2 linked regions of the Cricetulus griseus genome follow. The protein of the gene in region 2 binds, or shares a complex with, the protein of the main gene of each other region. Links are inferred from orthologs where the notes say so. Each region holds a gene or a part of one and is shown on either strand. Other genes may lie near its edges.

What was found. Proteins that work in one complex are often made in the same cells at the same time.
Region 1: the proteins of Naa50 (region 2) and Naa15 are in contact, whole or in part, in a cryo-EM structure (PDB 6PPL), measured with the Homo sapiens proteins. The link is inferred for Cricetulus griseus from reciprocal best matches to the Homo sapiens genes NAA50 and NAA15. Residues at the interface, in NP_079422.1 of Homo sapiens: Arg5, His14, Asn15, Lys17, Gln18, Arg21, Leu22, Val25, Phe51, Asn52, Ile54, Ala55, Leu80, Pro82, Tyr83, Leu86; in NP_476516.1 of Homo sapiens: Pro369, Pro370, Thr371, Leu374, Ser403, Thr404, Pro405, Thr406, Leu407, Ile408, Phe411, Glu433, Ala436, Leu437, Asp438, Thr439, Ala440.

What each region holds. Positions count from the first base shown.
Region 1 is NW_023276806.1:100,064,924-100,075,476, reverse strand, and holds the start of Naa15 (N-alpha-acetyltransferase 15, NatA auxiliary subunit), read left to right. Parts: upstream 1-4,885; 5' UTR 4,886-5,028; coding exon 5,029-5,082; intron 5,083-10,553. UniProt on the Homo sapiens protein: Auxillary subunit of N-terminal acetyltransferase complexes which display alpha (N-terminal) acetyltransferase (NAT) activity. The NAT activity may be important for vascular, hematopoietic and neuronal growth and development.
Region 2 is NC_048597.1:46,266,092-46,276,644, forward strand, and holds the start of Naa50 (N-alpha-acetyltransferase 50), read right to left. Parts: upstream 5,700-10,553; 5' UTR 5,513-5,699; exon of another isoform or gene 5,410-5,512; 5' UTR 5,392-5,409; coding exon 5,384-5,391; intron 1-5,383. UniProt on the Homo sapiens protein: N-alpha-acetyltransferase that acetylates the N-terminus of proteins that retain their initiating methionine. Has a broad substrate specificity: able to acetylate the initiator methionine of most peptides, except for those with a proline in second position.

The DNA.
Region 1 (10,553 bases), on a different chromosome or scaffold from region 2:
GTTATCTGGGAGTAGTAAATACGTTTGCCTATTCGACACATTGTACTAATCAGCTGTTTTGTTTTTTACCTTTGTAATTTTTATGTGTAGGCTCACATTGTGATAAGTGTGTGTGTGTGTGTGTGTGTGTGTGTGTTTGGAAGGTGACAATGAAGGTCAGAGGCATTGGATCAACCTGACTGATCAGCTGATTTAAACATTTTTATTTTTATGTCTGTGTTCGTGCCTGTTTGTCAAGTGCATGATGGTGCCTGCAACTGCCCATGGAGGTCAGAAGAGGGCACTGGATCCCCCGGTACTGTAGTTATAGGCAGCTCTGAGTTGTCCAGTGTGCTCTGGGTGCCAGGAAACAAACCCAGGTCATCTGTAAGAGCAACAAGCACTCTTACTTGCTGAGCCTTCTCTCTAGTGCATGATCAGCTCTTTTTTATGTTGCACAATTGACAGATTCTGTTTCACTGGTATCCAAAGACCATGTTTTAAAAACTATTGGTAATAGATGATACATTCTTTTTGATTTGATAAGATTTTATTATTTTTAATAATATGTTCATATGATGGTGGGGTATATGAATGAAGCTCCCCTTGGAGATCAGAGGAGAGCATTGTATTCCTTGAAGCCGGAGTTATAGATGTCTGTGAGCCAACTGGTGTGTGCTGGGAACCAAACCCAGGTCTTTGCTAGGGGAGTAAGCTGGCTTAACCATTGAGCTATCTCTCCAGCCTGCAGAAGATACAAACTTACCCTTAAAAGCCATTTGTTAAAACTAAAGCTGTTTAGGTCTACTTTAATAGCAAAATAAGTGTTAGCATTTTCCTTTAGTTAGTATTAGTATTAGTGTTAGTAGTTTTAGCAATATTATTTTAAAATCTTTTTAGTAAAACAAAAAGTCATTAGCAGAGTGTGGTGGCTCATGTCTAATCCCAGGTCTTGGGAAGCAGAGGCAGGAGTGACTCTATTTTGATAGAAGTTTGAGTTTCATAGTAAGTCCCAGACCAGCCTGGGCTAATATGAGACCCTATCTTAGAAAAAAAAAAAAAAAAAAAAAAAGGTGGGTACAGAAAGATAAGCCAAAACCAGGGCACCTACTGTCAAGCCTGATGACTTGAGTTCAATTGCTATGTCCCATTTAATAGAAGGAGAGAATAGACTTCTACTAATTTTCTTTTGACCTCCAGATGGGTGCTCTGACAAGCACACATATATACACACATACACACTAAATACATGTATTAAAAAAAAAAAGAGGGGAAAAGAAAGTAAATTACCAATAGAAGGTAAAATAATGACATTGTGCATTGTGGCTAAACATGTTACTAACAGCCTGAGTTACTTTAGTTTGTAACCTAGTCTGAGCCTCCTGGGCTCATGCTCAAGTAAGCAAACCAGCCTACTAATGCGCTGAGTCAGTTGTTGGCTCTTGACTTACTGGCTTCTTGTCCACTCAGCAAGAGTTGTATACTCTTTCTACAGCACACCGCCAGAGCTTGTCCTGACACAGCTTTTGCTAGTCTTCAACAAGTTGAAACAGATGCTACCTTTTGTCAGAGTGTACAGAACCAGTAAGCACATTGCCAGCTTCAGGATCTATGCTGGGAAAGTCCATTTTGTTTTCCAGAACTCTGATCCTTGTGTCCTTTTCCTAGTGTATAGTTTGGAGAGCAATGAAGTATGAGCACAACGTTCTCAGTATGTTAGAGCTCACTGGACCCCTAGAGTTGGAAGAAGCAGCTAAAGATGAAACTCATTTTGAAAAGAACCTAGCTGGGAGCTAATAGCTATTCTAGTTTGGTAGGCATCTTTTTAAACATTTATTTAAACCATATCCTGAATTTAAATGCTAAAATCCTGATTTGTGACCTAGGTGAAGGGAGATTTAACACCTAGAAAACAAGTTTTAGCCCTGGATTTTTCCATGAGGAAACATCTTACTTGACTGATGTGTCCAAGGGAGGGGGTAAAGAACAAAACCTAAAGAAGGATGGCTTCTTGTATACATAAGTTTTATTAAACAAACATTTATTAAACAAACATCCCAAAATGTGGCTGTTATTTTGTTAAGTCTGGGTGGCAGGTTCCTTTAATGTTGTTTTTCTATAAAATGTAAGTAAACTGGCCTCTGGTCTTCCAAACAAGGTAATCTTCCTGAGTGCTGGGCTTTACTATGGTTTTGAAGTCCTTCTGCCTTAGTCGCTCAGTACTGGGATTCCATGTGTGCACCATTACACCCAGCTGGAGGAGGAAGCCTTTTAAGCACAGTGATGGGGAAGGATGCAAGGTCCTCAGCAGCTGCAGTGCCATACAACCTTGGCTGTAACTTCCCAGAAGCACAAGAAGCACTCAAGGCCCAACTCCAATTTCTTTTTTTTTCCCATTCATTTATAAATAAAGTCATGCACAATTATGATCCAATTCAATTTCTATTTGCCAAGTAGTAGTGATTGGAGTCTATAGTTTATCTATTACTGAGTTCAGGCTATCATGTCATTGACTGTGTGGTCAGACTATTATTTGTAGGCACATTTTAACTCAGTAACGAATCTGATCAATATTGTAATCAGACCAGTATTCACTGAACCTTAAAAACTGCTGTTTGGGCCTGGAGAGATGGCTGAGCAGCTAAGAGAACTCACTGCTGTTCCAGAGGATCCAAGTTGGTGGCTTACAACCACTGTAACTCCAGCTTCAAGGTATGACACTTTCTTCTGACTTCTATGGGTAACAGTATCCACACACTTGCACACGAACATGAATAAAAATAAAAATCTTTATATAAAAACAAACAAAAGCTCCCCACCCAAAACCCTGCTGTTTAGACTTGGATGGGGCACTATGTCTGCAATCCTAGCATTTAAAAAGCAGAGGAGGAAGTGAGATCAGGGTAAGCTTGGGCTACTTAGCAAGACCAACAAACAAACAAAATTGCTATTTAGTGGGAAGAGGATTGACAGCAGTAGAGGCAGACAAGAGATGGTAAGGGGGATATGTATAAGTGAGAATAAGATTGAAATATATCATGTACATATATGAAAATAATGAAAAACATCGTGTATAATTAACATGCTAATAAAACATTACAACTTAAAAAATTGTATGTACAATTTCAAAAAAAAAAAAAAACAGTTGGTTTTCTAGTGCTGTGGGTATAGCTAACTCAATGGTAGAAGTGCTTGTCTGGCAGGCATGAGGCACCAGGTTAGAGCTCCAACAGCACACACTCGAAGAAAAGCTATTTATCTATGTCTTTGTATGTGTTGAATTTTATTTTATATGTATGAGTACTTTGCCTGCTGTGTGCCCTGTGCACAGCTGGTGCCTTCAGAGGTGCTGGGGCCCAACCCAGGTCCTCTGCAAGAGCAACAGGGTTCTTACTCAATGAGCCCCATCTCGACAGCCCCATAACTTCATTTATTATTTATATGTGACAATATGGAGAGCAGAGAATAACTTTGTGGGGCCCTTTTTCTTTTTCCATCTTTATGTGAGTTCAGGGTTCAAACTCGGGTGTCAGGCTTGCATAGTAAGAGCCTTTACCCACCATGCCATCTCACCAACCTAATTTTCCTAAATCTTTATCGAGAGATTACAGTATTCAAGGAGACCCTAAGGTTTGACCTCTATAATCCCGATCTTTCGTTTTTTTCGATACAGGGTTTCTCTGGGTAGCCCTGGATGTCCTAGAATTCATTCTGCAGACTAGGGAAGTTAAAGAACAATTTGAAAACCACAAAGTATGTGTTTAAAAAAGAAAGATTGAAAAATGTCAAACTCTTGCACATCTTTATGATTCATGGTGCAAAGAATACTACAAGGCCTGCACGAGATAATTGAGGGTAAAATGGCTCTTATGACTCAATGGCATGTCACTCTGTAAAGGTTTTATTGTCAAGTGTTAATGAAATGTCTGCTGGTGGGAGGGATCCTCTTCACTTTCAGGCCTAATCTTGCTGAGTGGAGTTTGGCCTCTAAGGTTTAAGGACTTCTGGTAACAGGTGGTTCAACAGTTACAATCCTAAGCATGAATTAGAAGTCAACTCCAGGAGTTCCGACCCTCGACTCTACTACATCAAGGTGACTCACACAGCTCTTACTTCAACCCATTATATGACTTCAGCAATGAAATAAACACATACTTCAACCTTCAAAGGCTCCTTTGGCAGTACAAACATGCCTTTTCGAATCTGGCTAACGACCTTTCCTGGCTATCTTAACCATAGTCAACAGAACCACAGATACCCTACCCAGTCAAGTCCATTTCAAAGGTCAAGCTCTTTGACGCTTTTCAAAGACGATTAAGCCCTCACCTCTTCGGATCGGTTCACAAGTCCCCACTTAGGCGAAGGTTTTCTCATCTTACCCTTCGCCTCTGCTCAAATATAGGCACTTGGGCCTTGAACGACTACATCTTCTTAAAACACCTCCGTCGGCATTTTGGCATTTGAGGCTCAAGCTACGATTACAACACCTGGGCGAGTCTACCCCAATGAGTGAAAGGCCGGTTTAGCGAGGAGGAGCAAAAAGGCTGTTTGCGACGAAGAGGCGGCGGAAGCACCGCTGGCTGCCCTCCCAGGAGCTGAGCACTGGAAGGACCGGCAGAGCCAACCCAGAATCAGCCGTTCCGCAGGCCCTGCCGGCCTCCGCGTTCCCGGCAGGCTCCGGTGCAGCGAGGGTGGGGAGAGAGGGTCACCGCGCCTGCGCGTTGGGAGGTGTGACCCGGGTGGGAAAGCCCTCGGCGTCCGCCATTTTGGCTGCCTCTGTCGGTCTTTTCAGTTACCACGTGAACCGCCGACGGAGACCCGTGAGGGGGGAGGTGGCGGCAGCGTTAAGTGAGAAAGGGGGGGAAAAGAAAAAAAAAAAAGAAAGAGGAGAAAGGGGTGTCAGGACAGGGCGGCGCGGCGACACCCGAGGCCTAGTGGCGGCGGAGCGGATTCAAGGCTGAAGCGAGCTTGAGAACGGCAACGGCGGCGGGCGGACAAACGGACTGACCGAGCCGGGCGGTGGCGGGAGCCGCGGGAGGAGCCGGAACCATGCCGGCCGTGAGCCTCCCGCCCAAGGAGAACGCGCTCTTCAAGCGGATCTTGGTGAGTGTGAGGCTGCGGGCGGGCGGCGGGGAGCGTCTCGCTGGGAGCCGGGCCTGTCACTTCCAAGCCCGGGCGGGCGGGCGGGCACTGGGCCACCCCGAGGGGGACCCCGCCGTGGTAGTGCGGGCCGGCAGAGCGCACTCCTTCGTCTCGCCCCGGTGGTGCCCACCTCGGTCCGCGCGCCGCGTACCGCGGGCTTCGGAGGCCTCGGTTCCGGACTAGGCCCCGACTCTCGGGCTACCACAAGGCTGCCTTTTACCCTCCTAGAGCGAAGGGAGGAGCAGCCTGGCCTTGAGCGGGACAGCGGGCCGCACGGGCCCACTCGGGCCAGGGATCCTGCTGGCTGGTCGGGGTGGCACCCTCGGAAGGAACAGGTGGTGTGGCTGAGGCCCGACTCATTCATTGCTTGAACGCGCTTCTCCCTCCACGGCCCGTCCCTCCCTCTTCCTCCCTACCTGGGATTCACCTGTCCCCGCCCGGCCGGGGTCACCGTGACTCCAGAGGGGGCAAGGATGGAAAAGCGAAGGGAGCTTTGCAGTCTGCAAACTCCATGTAGTGGCTTGCATACTTGACCCCGCAGCCCCTGGTCGTCTTTTTAGGGGTGGGGTGGGGGAAACCCATGTCTTAGTTTGAGAGCAAACCTGCCCCACCCCGCCATCCTTCTCCGGAGGTGGGACTCATTTCTAGGGGGCGGTCCGGTCCGGTCCGGTAGGAAGTTCTAGTACTTAAGTACTTTACTTAAGACTGTGAAGTTTTAAAAACACCTATACAAAAACTTAGCCGAAACGATATAAGAATCTTTTGAGATGGATCTTGTTGACGCTAGCTCTGTGTTTCAGATATTTGCAGTTTGCATAAGAAACGCATGCAGTGATACTTACAGAGGTACTGGATTGAAGCTGTTTACATTGTAAACTATGCCCAGTCGTCTTGGTGCTGTCATTAATACATTGTAGCACTTTTGTTGTTGTTTGGTATTTAGTGTATGAGTCGCTTCTTTTACACAAACAGTTCTTTGTGAAAGAACTGTATTTGCCAATTTTAAGACTTGAATGGCGGTGGTGTTTCACACCTGTAATGCCGGCACTGGAGAGGAAGAGGCAGGTGAATGGATCTCTTGAGTTCGAGGCCAGCTTGGTCTACAGAGTTATACAGAGAAACCAGGGCTATACAGAGAAAAAATGGGAAGAGGGAGAGATTCGTGTATGTGTGTGTGTGTTAGCCTTTTAGCTTGCAGTTATAATTCACTTGTTTGACAAATATGGAGATCTAGGGTTTGTTTGTTTGTTTTTTCTTTCTCTAAATAACTCAGCAGTTGAGAGCACTTGGGCTCTCAACTGCTTGAGAGCCAGAGGTCTTGAGTTTAATTCCCAGCAACAACATGGTGACTCATAACCATCTATAATGGGATCTGATGCCCCCTTTTGGCGTGCAGGCATACATGCAAGTAGAGCTCTCAAACACATAAAATACATAAATCCTAAATAACCATTTATGTCGAGGTAATTGATTTTACAGAAATATCCATGTTGTAAATTAATGAATTTGTGTTGAAAAACGATAGTCACATACTATTTAGTGGTATTTTGTTTTCATACCATTTGAAGTGGAATTGTAGCATAGTTTCCCCCCCTATGTTCTGAGACATCTTTTTCCCTGTCTGTCTGGAAAAAAAAAAATTAAAAAGACATAAACCAGATTTGGCAGCAAGTGTTTTCATTCACTGTGTCGTCTCATTCACTGAAGAATAATAGTTGCTGTTATTTCTGTGCTGGAAGGCTTTGTGCATTCGAAGCAGGTGATCTACCGCGGAGTTACACTCAATTATTTTAGGACTGATGTGTAGGTAGAACTATAGCATAGTTTTCTTGCAACATTTACCCACCCACCCCCTGTCCCCTTATTTTTCTTTATCTTTTTTTATAATGCTGGAGGTTGGACCTTGTGCTAAATACAAGCAGAGCTATGTTCCCAACCCCCTCATCCTCTGTTTATACTGATGGGGGGGGGAATCTCTGAAAAAACGAGAGTATCGAAAAATATTTGTCTTTTACCGATATTTAACAAATTGCCAAGATTACTTTTTCTTTCCGTACATAGAAAAAAAGAAAACTGTATGCTTATGCTTCACTCCTTAGAAATAAAGACATGGCCCTGTATAGTTATAATACCATTAACAGTTTTTTTCTAAAATTCAGGCTTTTCAACTGTTAGTGACACCTTTTCATTGTTTTTTGTTTTTGTTTCTGTTTTTGGAGACCGGTTCTGTGTCACTTTGGAGTGTGTCCTGGAACTCGATTTGTAGACCAGGCTGGTCTTGAACTGTCAGAGATCCACTGCCTCTGAGTGCTGGGATTAAAGGTGTAGGCTACCACGCCAGGCTCAGTCTTTCTCTATATTTCAGGCAGGCCCCCATTTCTTAGTATTCCTTTTGCTTCAGCCTTCCAGTACTTGGATAGCAGGTGTGATCCACCATTCTGGGCACAATCAAGTGTGTGCCTCTGTGTAATATGCACATGTTGGGGTTGACTCCAGGGTGTTGCACATACTGGGCAAATACTCTACCTCTGAGTAGTATATATCTCCTCCCCTAAAATTACTCTTATTTTGAGAGAGTTATAAAGTCAAATGTAGTTTGAGATATTCTTTGTATATTTTGCTTACTTTTCCAAATATTATATCTTATAAATCTTATAGTTGATTGTAACATTGATAATGTCTACCAATTTTATTCATATTTCCCAAGTTTTATTTGTAGTTGTATATGTGTTCATTTCTATACAGTAGCTATTACATGTGTAGGTTCTGTGTCTGCAGTCAAAATATAGTTCTACAGTAACACAAAGGAGCACTGTTTTGCCCTTTTAGAACTACAACCACCTATATCCTTCCCATCCTTTTCTCTCACCCTCCAGCAACTGTGATTAGTGTTTCTCCTATTGAAGTAATTTTAAAGGACTGTTTCCTAAAGAGACTCATAGAGTGTATATAACTTACAGATTGGCATTTCTTTAGTGCAGCAGGATTTCCTTGTGGTTCATCTAAGTTTTCACTTGTATTAGTAGTCTGTTATATTTTATTGCAAAGTAATATGCTATAATGTAGATTTAGATTTAGTAGAGTTTGTTTAACTATTTATGGAATTACAGTTCTTGGTTGTGATGGTGGGACAAAAATCTTTAATGTTGTTGCTAAAATCACGGTGCAAAAGGATTAATTATTTTAAAGCAATTTTTTCTTTTTATTAGAAAATTATTTTACATGTCAATCCCAGGTCCCTCTCCCTCCCCTCCGCCTCCCCCCACCCCCAACTAACACCCTACCCATCCTATACCCTTTCTGCTACCCAGGAAGGGTGAGGCCTTCCATAGGGGGCCTTCAAAGTCTGTCATATTCTTTGGGATAGGGCCTAGGCCAACCCCCTTGTGTCTAGACTCAAGGAGTATCCCTCCATGTGGGATGGGCTCCTAAAGTCCATTCCTATGGTAGCAGTAAGTACTGATCCATTACAAGAGGCCCCATAGATTTCCAAGGTCTCCTTACTGACACCTATATTCAGGGGGTCTGGACAGTCCCATGCTGGTTTCCCAGCTATCAGTCTGGGGATAAAGCAATTTTATTGTGTGTTTGTATGAATGTGTGCCTTCGTGCCAACACACACATGTAAGGGTCAGAGAACAGTTTCCCAGAATTGGTTCTCTTCCTACCATGTGGGTCCCAGGCATGAAATTCAGATCTTTAGGTGGCAAGTACTTTTATTCACTGAAAGGTTTTGCTAGCCAGTTAAAAGATTTATTTCCATAAGACTTAAACAAGAAAAATGTGTAAATCTCTAAATGAAAGAAGAAAAAGAGATACAATGTTTTTATTGTTGACAGACATTAGGAATGAAAAAAATGTTACCAAGCAAAATTATAGTTTTGTTTCAAAATTTCAGCTTTTACAGTGTTAGCTCTTGCTTGATTTTTTTTTTTTTTTTTTGTTTTTTGTTTTTTGTCCTGGAACTCACAGTATAGACAAGGCTGACCTCAAAGTTACAGAGATCCACCTGCCTCTGCCTTCTGAGTGCTGGGATTGAAGGCATTCACTACAATTCTGGAGAGCTCTCTTGATTTTCAAGCTTTCTCTTCCCCCACTTTTTCTTGTCTGATAAAGGAAAAGTTGGGCATACTCCAGTGCTAAAATCAAGTGTTGGTAGGTTGCTGACGGTAGCACTCCTTTTGTTGTGGTGTTCCATACTTAGTAAACTTACATAGGGCCAGTTCATGCTTCACAGAATTATGAACTGTCTCTGGCTCAGTATTTTAGTGTAAACTCATGTAATAGTATCACTTTGCACAATTTCATAATTTCTACAGTGGATTTACTTGACTTAGTTCAGTTTGTTTGATACCTGCAATAATATTTGTTACATATTTGCCCCTCCCTTTCTCCACAGTGCTGTTTTCTGACTAAGCATTGTTATAAATTGCTAAAAATATGTGCAAAATATTTCTTGTCTCTAGTTCATCTAGAGAGAAAGAAGATTAACTGGTGTTCTATTTTATGTGAGATTTTTGCTTGGTTGCTTACCAGTCCTTTTAAAATTTCACATCATTTTAATATATTTAGAAAATTAAATCATTTAAAAAATTGTAGCCTCTGCATACCTTTCCTGCTGTTTGTTCATCTAAATCAGTGGTTCTCAATCATCCTAATGCTTCAACCCTTTTTGTTCATGTGATGGTGCTCCCCAACCATATTATTTTCCTTCATAACTGTAATTTTGCTGCTTTTATGAACTGTAGTGTAAATATCTGTATTTTCCGATGGTCTTATGCAACCTCCGTGAAAGGGTCATTCAATCCTCAAAGGGGTCATGACCCACAGGTTGAGAAATACTGATACAGAATAGTTTGAGAATTGTCCTAGAATTGTCCATCATTCTATTTGATTTTTCCAAACAGAGTTTCTCTGTGTAGCCTGTCCTAAAACTCACTCTCTAGATCAGGCTAGCCTCAAACCCAGAGATCTGCCTGCCTCCATCTCCCCAAGTGCTGGGATTAAGGGTGTGAGCCACCAGTGCCCAGCTTTATTCACTTTCTTGGGATCTAGGTTTATGGTAGGAAAGATGTGCTTGAAAGGTGTGGCCAAAACTCACACCTTTCAAATTTCAGCCCACTTGAAAAGTGGAACCTTCTTAATGCCTGAAATCACCAAGATTGTTATTGCTATTGCTTTATCCTTGTCTCTTACTCTTTATATGTTAATGTGAGTGATACGAAAATAAAACCCAAGTTGGGAATACTTACCACTGTTTAATAAGTGTTGTTTTGGGGCTGCAGAGATGGCTCTCCGACCTATTCCAGAGGACCCAGGTTTAAATACCAGCACCCATATGGCAGCTTACACCTGTCTGTAACTTCAGTTCCAGAGGATCCAACACCTCCACACAAATATACATGGAGACAAAACACCGATGCACATAAAAT
Region 2 (10,553 bases):
ATTAGAATTTCTTGTTTGGCCTAGTGAGTGTTATTAAATATAGAGTATCCTGAGGAGACAGAAGAGAGGACAGGCCAAACAACAAACTGAAGACATTAAATTCAAAGACAATAATTGAAATGTGATTCTACTACTTTATTTCTTGGGATCATAGAGTGCTGATCATGAGCAGAAACGGCAAATGGAATTTTATGCTATTGCAGTCACAGTATGTCTGAATAATCTTTTTGTAACAAGAAAATCCATCAGCTACCAACATAATTTAGAATTTGCATCCAGGACTGCTATCATTCATAAGGCTCAAGCTATTCCTACAGACAGTCAACAAAACCACAAGAAAGACAGGAAATGTATTTTAAAATACTCTATTGCTACCTATCATTTGTGGTACTTAGTTGCTTCTAATTAAATGCGATTTGTTACAGTAAATTTTATTTATTAAAATAATGGACTTATACTAGGATGTGGTGGCACACGCCTTTAACCCCAGCACTCGGGAGGCAGAGGCAGGTGGATCTTTGTTGAGTTCGAGGACAGCCTCCAAAAGCCACAGAGAAACCCTGTCTCGAAAAACAAAAACAACAACAAAAAAGAAAATCAAAAGGAGGAATAATAGCACTACTATGTTATAATTCTGTAGTTTAAACCACAATTTTAGAATAAAAAGTGCTCTATAGTTACATGAGTATTCTACTGGTTACTGAAGACTAGGCTCAAAACAAAGATGAAGGAAATTTGAATAATTGAAAATGCCTCTTCGGGGGCTGGAGAGATGGCTCAGAGGTTAAGAGCACCAACTGCTCTTCCAGAGGTCCTGAGTTCAATTCCCAGCAACCACATGGTGGCCCTCTTCTGGTGTGCAGATATATATAGAAGCAGAATGTTGTATACATAATAAATAAATAAAATCTTAAAAAAAAATGCCTCCTCAAATGCCACAAAAATTGAAAGCTATAATTAATGCCTGAAGAACAAAAATCAAGATTTCTAAAGGGCAATACAGCAAGGTGAAACTTAAATAAGTATTAATTACTTTTATCTGGAAAGAGCACTGACAAGATGTAATAATTAAAGTTTGGCTACAAATTTTGAGAACAAGAACATATAATTTATTCAAAGTATTATGATAAAACAGGAAAAGCATGTAAGCACTTAGTCTCCTGGATGACCCTTAACAATTCTTAAACATAGAAACTTTTCAAGACAGTGTCTCATGTATCCCAAGCTGGCATTGAACTTACTATGTAACCTTGAACTTCTGATACTTGGTCTCTGCCTCCTAGTGCTGGAAAAACAGTGTGCACCACCATGTCCAGTTTATTCAGTGCTGGCATTTCATGCATACTAGGCAAGTACTATATCAACTGAACATAACCCCTAAACTCATAGAAACCTTTATTTATCTACTTATGTTTGCTTGCTTATTTATTTATTTATTTATTTATTTGTAGCAGCTTTAGTAAAAGTTGTCCACAAATTTGGGAAAGAAGAGATCACTACAGCAATACCATGCCAATTCAAAGTCACAATTATACTTCAGACATTTCAAAACTCTCAGCATAGCAAAGGAGACATTACACAGTACTTATTAAAATTCACTATCTTAATAAGTCACAAATTACTGGTTTTACACAAAAAGCGAAACATGTATTGCATTGTTTCTAGTTGGATTCTACAGCCAATTTTATTGGTATACAAGATACATTTTGTAAGCAGGCTTAGTACCAAACAGCTATAGGAGAGGAGGAGGCAGATGGATGTGAAGGTTAGGGACCAAAACCATCTCAAATTGCCAGATGGTGGTGGAGAGCACACCTTCAAACCCAGCACTTAGGAGGCAGAGGCAGGCGGATCTCTGTGAGTTGGAGACCAGCTTGGTCTGCAGGATAGCCTCCAAAGCCACAGAGGAACCCTGTCTCGAAAAATCAAATCAAATCAAAACAAACAAACAAACAAAAAAACCCACAAAAAAACAAAGCACAAATCTTGTTTACAATTTAGTTAAAAAAAAAAAAAAAAAGAACATACCTATTTTCCATGTAATCAACACCTAAAGATACAGAAACTTCCTGGGCCTGTTCCCAGTCCATATACTATTGAAGATAACCATTATTCCATACTTGTTAACATGGTTTCACTTCTAACTGCAGAATCTTTTGTTCCACTCAGTAACTAACATTTGGCCAAGTTTGAATTAGTAACCACACTGGTCTGTATTTAATATTATTCCTACCTACCTTTGGTCACTTCAGTATTCCTATCTTGTTCAAAGGCAGTTTTATTAGAACTAATTTGCATCTTTTATTATAATTAAAGGATAAATGAAATTATTATTATTTTCGATTACAGATAACTAATTGCACTGCCACTCCAGCCATTGCTATCTATGGCATTCTTCTTGCCTAAATATCATTTTCCCTGGGGAGGAATAACAGATAATCGCAATTACCTTACCAACCACAAATTCAAGCCACAATGCCCTTTGTTCATAAAAACAAGAAACCTCAGTTGAGGGGCTGGAGAGATGGTCCAGAGGTTAAAAGCACTGGTTGCTCTTCCAGAGGACCCTAGTTCTATCCCCAAGACTCACACGCCAGCTCACAACTGTCTGTAACTGTGGTTCCATGAGATTCAACACCCTCACACAGACATTCATGCAAGGAAAAACACCAATGCATATAAGAAATAAAAAGAAACCATTAAAAAAATAAAAAAGGAAACCTCAGTTGAAATAGCCAATAACTTAATATACTTGTCACATGCATTTAAAAATAGTTATTAATCGCAAATTTATCTACTATAGAAATAATGAAAACACATGATTTAACAGGATACCCTCCTACTGCTGTTATCAATAAAACTACTAACAGTAAAAAATATGAAATAAAATATTTAAAATAGTAATTTTAAGAAGTTTCAACACCGAAAATTTAAATCATAGATTACATCACAGAAGGGGTTTTTTGGCTTCCAACTTCAGTCATCTACTTAACTGAAAAAAATTTAAAAATTACCAAATAAAATTCCACATCAGAACTATGAAATACTGGGCAGTGGTGGTGAACGCCTTTGATTGATCCCAGCACTCAAGAGGCAGAGGCAGTTGGATCTCTGAGTTCGAGGCCACCTTTGTCTATGGTGAGACAGGCCCCAAAGATACACAGAGAGACCTGTCTCGGGGTGGGGATGGGGAACCCCAAAATAAACAAATGAACAACAACAACAACAACAACAAAAAACAACCCTATGAAATAAAAGAAAAAACAACAACAACAGCAAAGTCCAAAAACTATGAAACAGGACCACTTCTTTTCACAGGCCTTTCCAATGAAGTCAGGAGACTGAACATATAGTGGTTTTGCATCTCAAGGACATTTAACACCTTAAAACAAACATTTAAAAACCAAAAGTGCACTACACTCTGATTTCATTTCTTTAGTACCTTTAAAGGAAGAAAGAGGAAAATAAAGTTCCATGTTTACTGGGAGTTAGTTGTGGAAAATTAAAGACTCACACCTGTGAAATCACCTTGAAATTGTCTAAGCTCCCAATTCTAAGAAATAAAAACCTTACTTAAAGAATCTTAATTTTGAGCATGCTTACTTGCCCAAACTATGGAGTCAGCTGTAAGTTTTCTCTAAATTTGCCCATTTCCTCACCTTTAGGCATTTGCCTCCATTAATTATGTTACACAGAGTATCTGTTTAAGTAAACAGAACCAGCTGGTACTGGTGGCTCAAGTTTGCAATACTAAAAGGCTGCATGAGGCCAAAAGTATTGTTGCCAAGTGCAAGGCCAGCCTGACTAACTTAGTGGGACCCTATCTCAAAATAAAGTGCTAGGGTTATATATACCTCAGTGGCAGAGTGCTTTCCTTCAGTTCCCAGAACTTAATAGGATACAGCTGCTTCAACAATATACTAAATGCGAGTTCGAATAGATTGCCAATAATGCCAGTGTTCTACATTTCTGTCAAATTAAGTATCAGAAAGATTGCATCCTACACCTAAGAACTGAACTAGATCCAAGATTTTTTAAATCTAAACCAGAATAAATTCTTAGATGCATTATCTTTATTGCTATTACTATAACAGAACATGACAAAAATGTATTGAGTATCAATGAGTAAGAAAAAGAAAAGAGAAAGACAGTATCAAAGCCATACTCTACTAGAAAAATAAAACCTCCTAAAGATAACTGGATCACATTTTTAAAAATTAGCCAAACGTTCTGCATCGTGACTCTAGAGTGCTGTAAACATCCCCAAAAATCCAACAAATAACCAACATCTAAAGCAAAACCAGAGTAAAAAAGTATTTTATATGTAGACTTAGAATCAAATTAAGCTTTCTCAGAACATGGAGTTAAAGATAATGTGACCTTTCTTTTACACAAGACGATATATTTCGTTCTCCAAAAAGGATGCTGAATAAATAGTTTAACTAACTGAAACAATAGTTCAAATTTTCAGCTGACTTAGAAAAATCCTTACGGTATTTCAAAAAAGTTTTGCAAGCTTAAGCTTCCATTTCTTTTTCTAAAGGACTGTAAAGGCAACCTCAAAAACAGCTTGCCTAAGCAATGTGTTAGCGCGGTGTTAATACTGTAACAGTTTATAAATCCATGGAAGGGAAATACTTTTTCCCAAACGGGAACAGTTAAACAAAAATAACGTCTAATGCTACCCAAGATTTCAAAGACCAAACCTCAACTTTTCGAACGAGCAGCCAAAACACTCCTCTTTGCACTCAGGGGGCAAAACTCTCTTGAAGCAATAGCTCCACCTACTGATCCCGGATACTTCCTTAAACATTTTGGCACCCCAAAGTCTACGCGGCTTGAGTTCGTTCCCCCTCCCTCCTCCACTCGCTCTGACCCAACCCAAATCTCGTTGAGTCACTAGCTCCTAACACTCATCCCCATGCTCTTTATTCCAATTCCTTTTCCCTCCAGAAGGTTCTGCACAGTCCACAAGTAGGAAGAAACCAGAAACGTGTCAAAGCTCGCAGCCACAGCGTGGATCCTGGAGACCGATGAGCACCTGAGGCGGCTCGGCCGTGCGCTCCCGGGAAAAGGCCCCGGGCGCCTACCATACCTCCTCCCGGCTGTCCCACTCGGTGCACACTCGTTCTCTGGGCTGGATTCGTGGACTCGCGCCCCTGCCTCCGCAGGCCCTTCAGCCCGCCAACAGCCGGCCTAGCCTCCGCCCCCCTCCCGGAGTGGGGTGACCGAGGAGCCTGGCAAGGTCCCTCCGGAGGCCCGGTCTTGGCGCGAGTCTCTCCTCGCGGCGCTCTCCGGGTCCACCGGCCCACGCCCCTCTCCCCTGCCCGCCGGGCCCCCGCCGGCTGCCCTCCCTCCCTCCCTCCCTTCCTTCCTTCCTCACCCTTTCATCTTCCCCGCCTGCTGAGGCCGTCGTTACAGCCGCGACCAACGCCGTCGTCCTCGCCGCCGGGAGCTCTCCGCGCCCTGAGCTCAGGCCACTCAACCCCACACGCCGGCCTCTTGGCTGAGGGAAGGGCGCCGAGGGGCCAAGGAGGCCACGAAAGCCGAGCCGGGCCCCGAAGCTCCGGGGAGACGCGGGAAGATCTGTCGCCGCCGCGCTGCTGCCGCCGCCGCCGCCGCTCCTCCACACGTGCACACGGGACACTCCGCTCCCGCCCGCAGCTGCCGCCAGCCAGACCCGCCGCCGCGCTGTGACCTTTCACCCCGCCCCCTCAGCGCGCCGGCGCGGCCGCCGCGTCGCGCGCAGCCGCAGTGCTCCGTGCCGCGCGCCCCTCCCCCCCAGGACTTCCCCCCCTTTGCCCTGGGCTGGGCCTCCGGGGGGCTAGCTCCGCCCACCCTTTGCGACACTCCCGCCGAGCTTGCCCGGTAGGCTCCGGCGGTAAAATCCGGATCCTTCCGCCCTTCCCTCACTGCTCTCAGATCTGCAAGATCGGTCTTTCCCGCGCCCCTCTCCAGTGACCTTCAAACGCTCTTGTCGCCCGATAGGCTTTTATAAAACGGGTTCTTCTCGATGTAGGAGAAGCCTGTGGAGACCTGCAGTAAATGTGTTTTAAAAACCAAAAGGTAACGAGGGGCCCGGATAACTTGGCTATCTTCCAGCAGGCAAACCACGGTTTTGTTTTTTTTTTTTAATCACGTGATAGGCTGAAGCTTTCCAGCCAGGATTTTAACTCGGGACTGAGAGAGGCGGGACTCCATCGCCACTTCCGGCCCCTAGAGCGTGACTTAACGTCACTTCCTTAGCAATGCACTTTAACCCTTGCCGTCCTCGTTTTCTGTGCTGCAGTTTATAACCCAGTCATAGCGAAAAAAGGACCTAACTCGTTCATTAGCCACGCAACCATTCACATCCAAGCGACCTGCTAGGATTCAAGACTGGCGAGAGGCGGCGTGGCTGGGGAGGAGAAGCAGGGTGGAGCTTGAGGTCACATGACCAGGACGACCCGCCCCTTGCAGCTGAAGTCTTCCCCTCCCTCAGTGACAGAGCCTCTGGGTCCCGTGTAGGTACTGATTCTGCTCTTCGCGCCCCGGCGGGTCAGGTGCGACAGGTAACCGGCGACTGGTGGGGACGATTGACGGGGAGAGAGGAGATGGGGACTGGGGAGTGCGAGCGGCGGCCTGCGGTGCTGGGGCTCCTTCCCCGTTGTCATCCTGCACTGGCTGGTTGGTAGCTCTTTTCTCCAGATCTACATTCTGGACCCCTGGCTCGTCCCCGAAGTCCACTGGCGAGGGATTAAGATGCCCACCTTTGCCTGGGTTGAGAGCGAGTGCGGCCATTACGGTTCCCTATTTGGAGTCGTTGGGGCTTCAGGTGGTAGGATTGCTTTAGCCATTACTCCGGGTTTGCAACCACCTCCAGGTCCCATTCCCCAGAGCTCCTTCCCCTGGCAAAGGCCTTCGTCCGGATGAGCAGGAAGATAGGAGAACCCCCTGGAGGCAGAGGCGTCTCCGGTGAGACGGGCTTGGGAGGGAATGTCACTGATACGGCCCTCACTGCAGAGTCACTGAAGAACTGCCCTACGAATGTGCATTCTCGGTGATTCTAAGGGTCTTATCGGACATCCCTGCAGAGAGGTTCAATGAGTGTTCACTTGCTCCGGATGAGACTGGAAGGGCAAGAGCAGGGCTTACAGCCTTTTCTTTTCGGAGAGAAGGCCGTGGTACTGTCTTCAGAACAGGGTGTTTGGTAATGCGACAGTTGAATGAGAAGGCAATGAAAGATGGTGTTGCCTGGTTGGGCTGGAGACCTAGGCTAGCTTATGGGAAAGTGACGAGGTTTTCCCGAAAGGGAAGTAATTCTTCCGAAATTGATCAAGCTGAAAATATAATTAATCCAAATTCATTTGGCTATAATTTAAAAGCAGGAAGGTTAAGCCTAGATATTACTGACTTGGTATTTTCTGTGATGTCTGTGGCATCCTTCCCCTTTTGGGCATTTTTTTTTTCTTTAAATCCTACATAATTGTCCCTCCCAGTCAATTCCTTGGCCAGTTTAAATTTGTGGAGTGTGTTTTTAATTAGCTTTTGCATTTGCAAAAAAAAAAAAATGAAGTGACCTCTTCTGATTTGGGTGTATAATATATTGTGAAAATACAGGAATTCTTTTGCCGTAGAGTTGCCCAACCCTTTGTACTCCCATTTTATATGCACTGTAGTAGCCACTGTTTTGATATCAAACAATGAGCTTTAGGAAAGGAATGTTTTTCAGTTTGTGGCTAAACTCATTTATTTATTCTGCAAACTTAGAAAGTTCCTTGTTTTAAATTACACATTTGACTTTTATACATTTTCTTATATGGTTTCATGTTTTTAGTTAAATCTTAGTTCTAAGCAATGTAATTGAAGAATTTACTTTTTAAAATCTGCTGAGGACTGGGAATATGGTTCTTACCTCCATGAATGCTTGAGGCTTTAGATCTAGTCTTCTGAACTTGAAAGTTAAAAGGAAAAAGATGGAATGATTATCTTCTAGTGATTTGTCAGACTGAATTTTTCCCCTCCCACGTTTTCTGAAATTACATGATCTTATTTGTTAATGAGAGCTGCAAGCTAAAGTAATGATAGCAATTTAACAAAATAGAAAGGTTGGCCTATTTGATAACTTCTTACAAAAAATATCTTGCACTGCCCAGAAAAATCATACTGGTTTTTGTATTCATATTTACAATTTTACCATTTTGTGATCCACAATAGCTATTGATAGGTTTATATAACAAGCATAAATATAGGTTCTTAAATAGTTTGTTCCTTTTCATTGCTAATCATTATTCTGTGGTATGGATAACACCACAGTTGGCTCAGCCATTCACTTGTTGTCATTTTTATTTGCATGTGTGTGCCTCCCAGAAGTGTCTTCCTCCATTCTCCCCCACTCCTTTTTTTTAAAGGTAGGTTAGCTCACTGATTCAGCAAGCCCCAGGCATCCTTCTGTCTCCATTTGCCCCTGAGCAATGAGGATAAAGGAGCACCAACATACTTGACTTTTGAATGCATGCTGGGGAGCCAAACCTGGATTTTCATGCTTGCAAAGCAAGCACTTTAATGACTGAGCCATCTCCTGAAATACAGTATTAGCCGTTGTTTTTCTCAAGAGTGAGCTTCCCTGATCTCTTGAGGAGAGGGAAAAAATGGTTTTGGTTTCCTGCCCATGTGACATTCCACCAAATAAACAGAATTCCTAAGTGCTTTGGAAGTCCAAACCAGTTCTGTGCAGGTGCACCAAAATGGACTAGAGGAAACCAGTTTAAAAGTACTGAGTACTACAGGAGGAGAAATTCATAAGAAAGAGATTGGATGAGTCTGCAGTTTTATGTCACAATTAATTGCTTCAATTTTAGGGAACTCGTGAAAGTAGTAACTTAGACTACTGATGAAACGTGGAAGATTAGCAGCAGGAAATCAGTGACAATGAAGAATAAATGTGAAAAAAATGTTTGACATTATATGTATACAAATAGATGATTTGAGCATTGGAAGGTATTTCTGATACTGTATAGTATATCACATTTTTGTGTGTCTCTGGGTGTGGTGGTGCATGCCTGCAATCCCAGCAATGGGAGGCAGAGCCTGGCGGATCTCTGTGACTTGAAGGCCAGCCTGGTCTATAAAGAGTTCTAGGCCAGCTAGAGCAGTGAGACCATGTTTCAAAAGGGAGGGAGAGATTTATATGCAGAAATTTATTTGGGGAATAAGTCCTCCATTAAGTAATATGTAAAGGTTGGGGCCCCAACATCCTTTGATTTTTTTTTCCACTATGAGGTCTTTCTTAGTTTCACTGTCTTTATAGGGTATCATCGACATTGGAAAAGTATTCTTCCCCTTTGGGCCAAGGTAGCCAGTCTGTCCCTTAGGCTACTACACAATATTTTCTATTATTTCCTTTATTTTTACTTACAGATTATTTCTATTAGCTGGTGTATTCCTCAGTAAGCTGTAAACCTCCCTTCAGTTAAAGGATAGTGTCCTTATTGTGTCTTCTCCACAAGGATGCTGACGTGGATAAGGACTTGTCCAAGCACACAAAATGCTGAGTGAGGTCCCTGATAGGTTGTTTACTGAATAAGTGTTGAGCAATTAACAAGGAAATAAAACCACTTCAAGCCTCACAGATTGTAGTTCCTTCTGAGGTTGTTTATTAAGTATTGACTTTTTAATGCAAGTTTCCAAACACTAAATGGAATAGACATAAACCATGCATGGACTTTATTAATACAGTTACTAACTTACTTCCACAATGTGTTATGTTTACTGATAAGATCTGTGGTTATCATTCAGTAGGAGAGGACAGAGATAGTTGTCCTAAATGGGGAAAAATGGCTCTACATAAACTACAAGTGGTTTAACACTAAAGTTAGAGGATCTTCATTCAGCGGCTCTGTCTTAGTCACATGACCTTTTGAGTGCAGCTCATGCTGGCAGTTTCAGGGTTCTGTACCCAGAAACTTTCCTCCCCAGGGTATTGTAAGTTGAATGAGATAACCTTACATATTCTATTTGAAAGCAGTTTTAAAACTAGATGTGAGAGTAAAACAATACAATTCAAATGTTACCTGAGTAGATGGCCCAATCACAGAAACCTGGAATTAGGTTTTAGCCTCCCCTGTTATTAGCTGTCTGACCTTGGGCACTGAAAATCAAGTCTCCTTATGTTTAAATCTAGCCCATAGGTATTATTAAAGTAGATCATGAGTATACTGTGTCTAGTACACACTTTATAAACTTTTTTTTTTTAATGGAGGCCAAGACTGGCCTTCAACATGGTCATTCTCCTGTCTCACTCCTAAGTGCTGGCGTTATGCCACCACACCAGCAGAAATTCTTACTAATTATATTGTCATAAGTTTCAGTTGTATATATTGAACTTCTAGGGAGACTCAGATATGCAACAAAAGGTTTGTGTCACAGTGAGTAGACTAGAATTAGAAGTGGGTCTATCATGAACAATAGAGCTGAAAAAAACTCTTGTAGCTTTATTCTTTGAGACAGGCTATGTTATTCAGATTGCTTTAAAACCCCAGGTCTAAGGCTAGTCAGTCTGCCCCAGCCTCCCA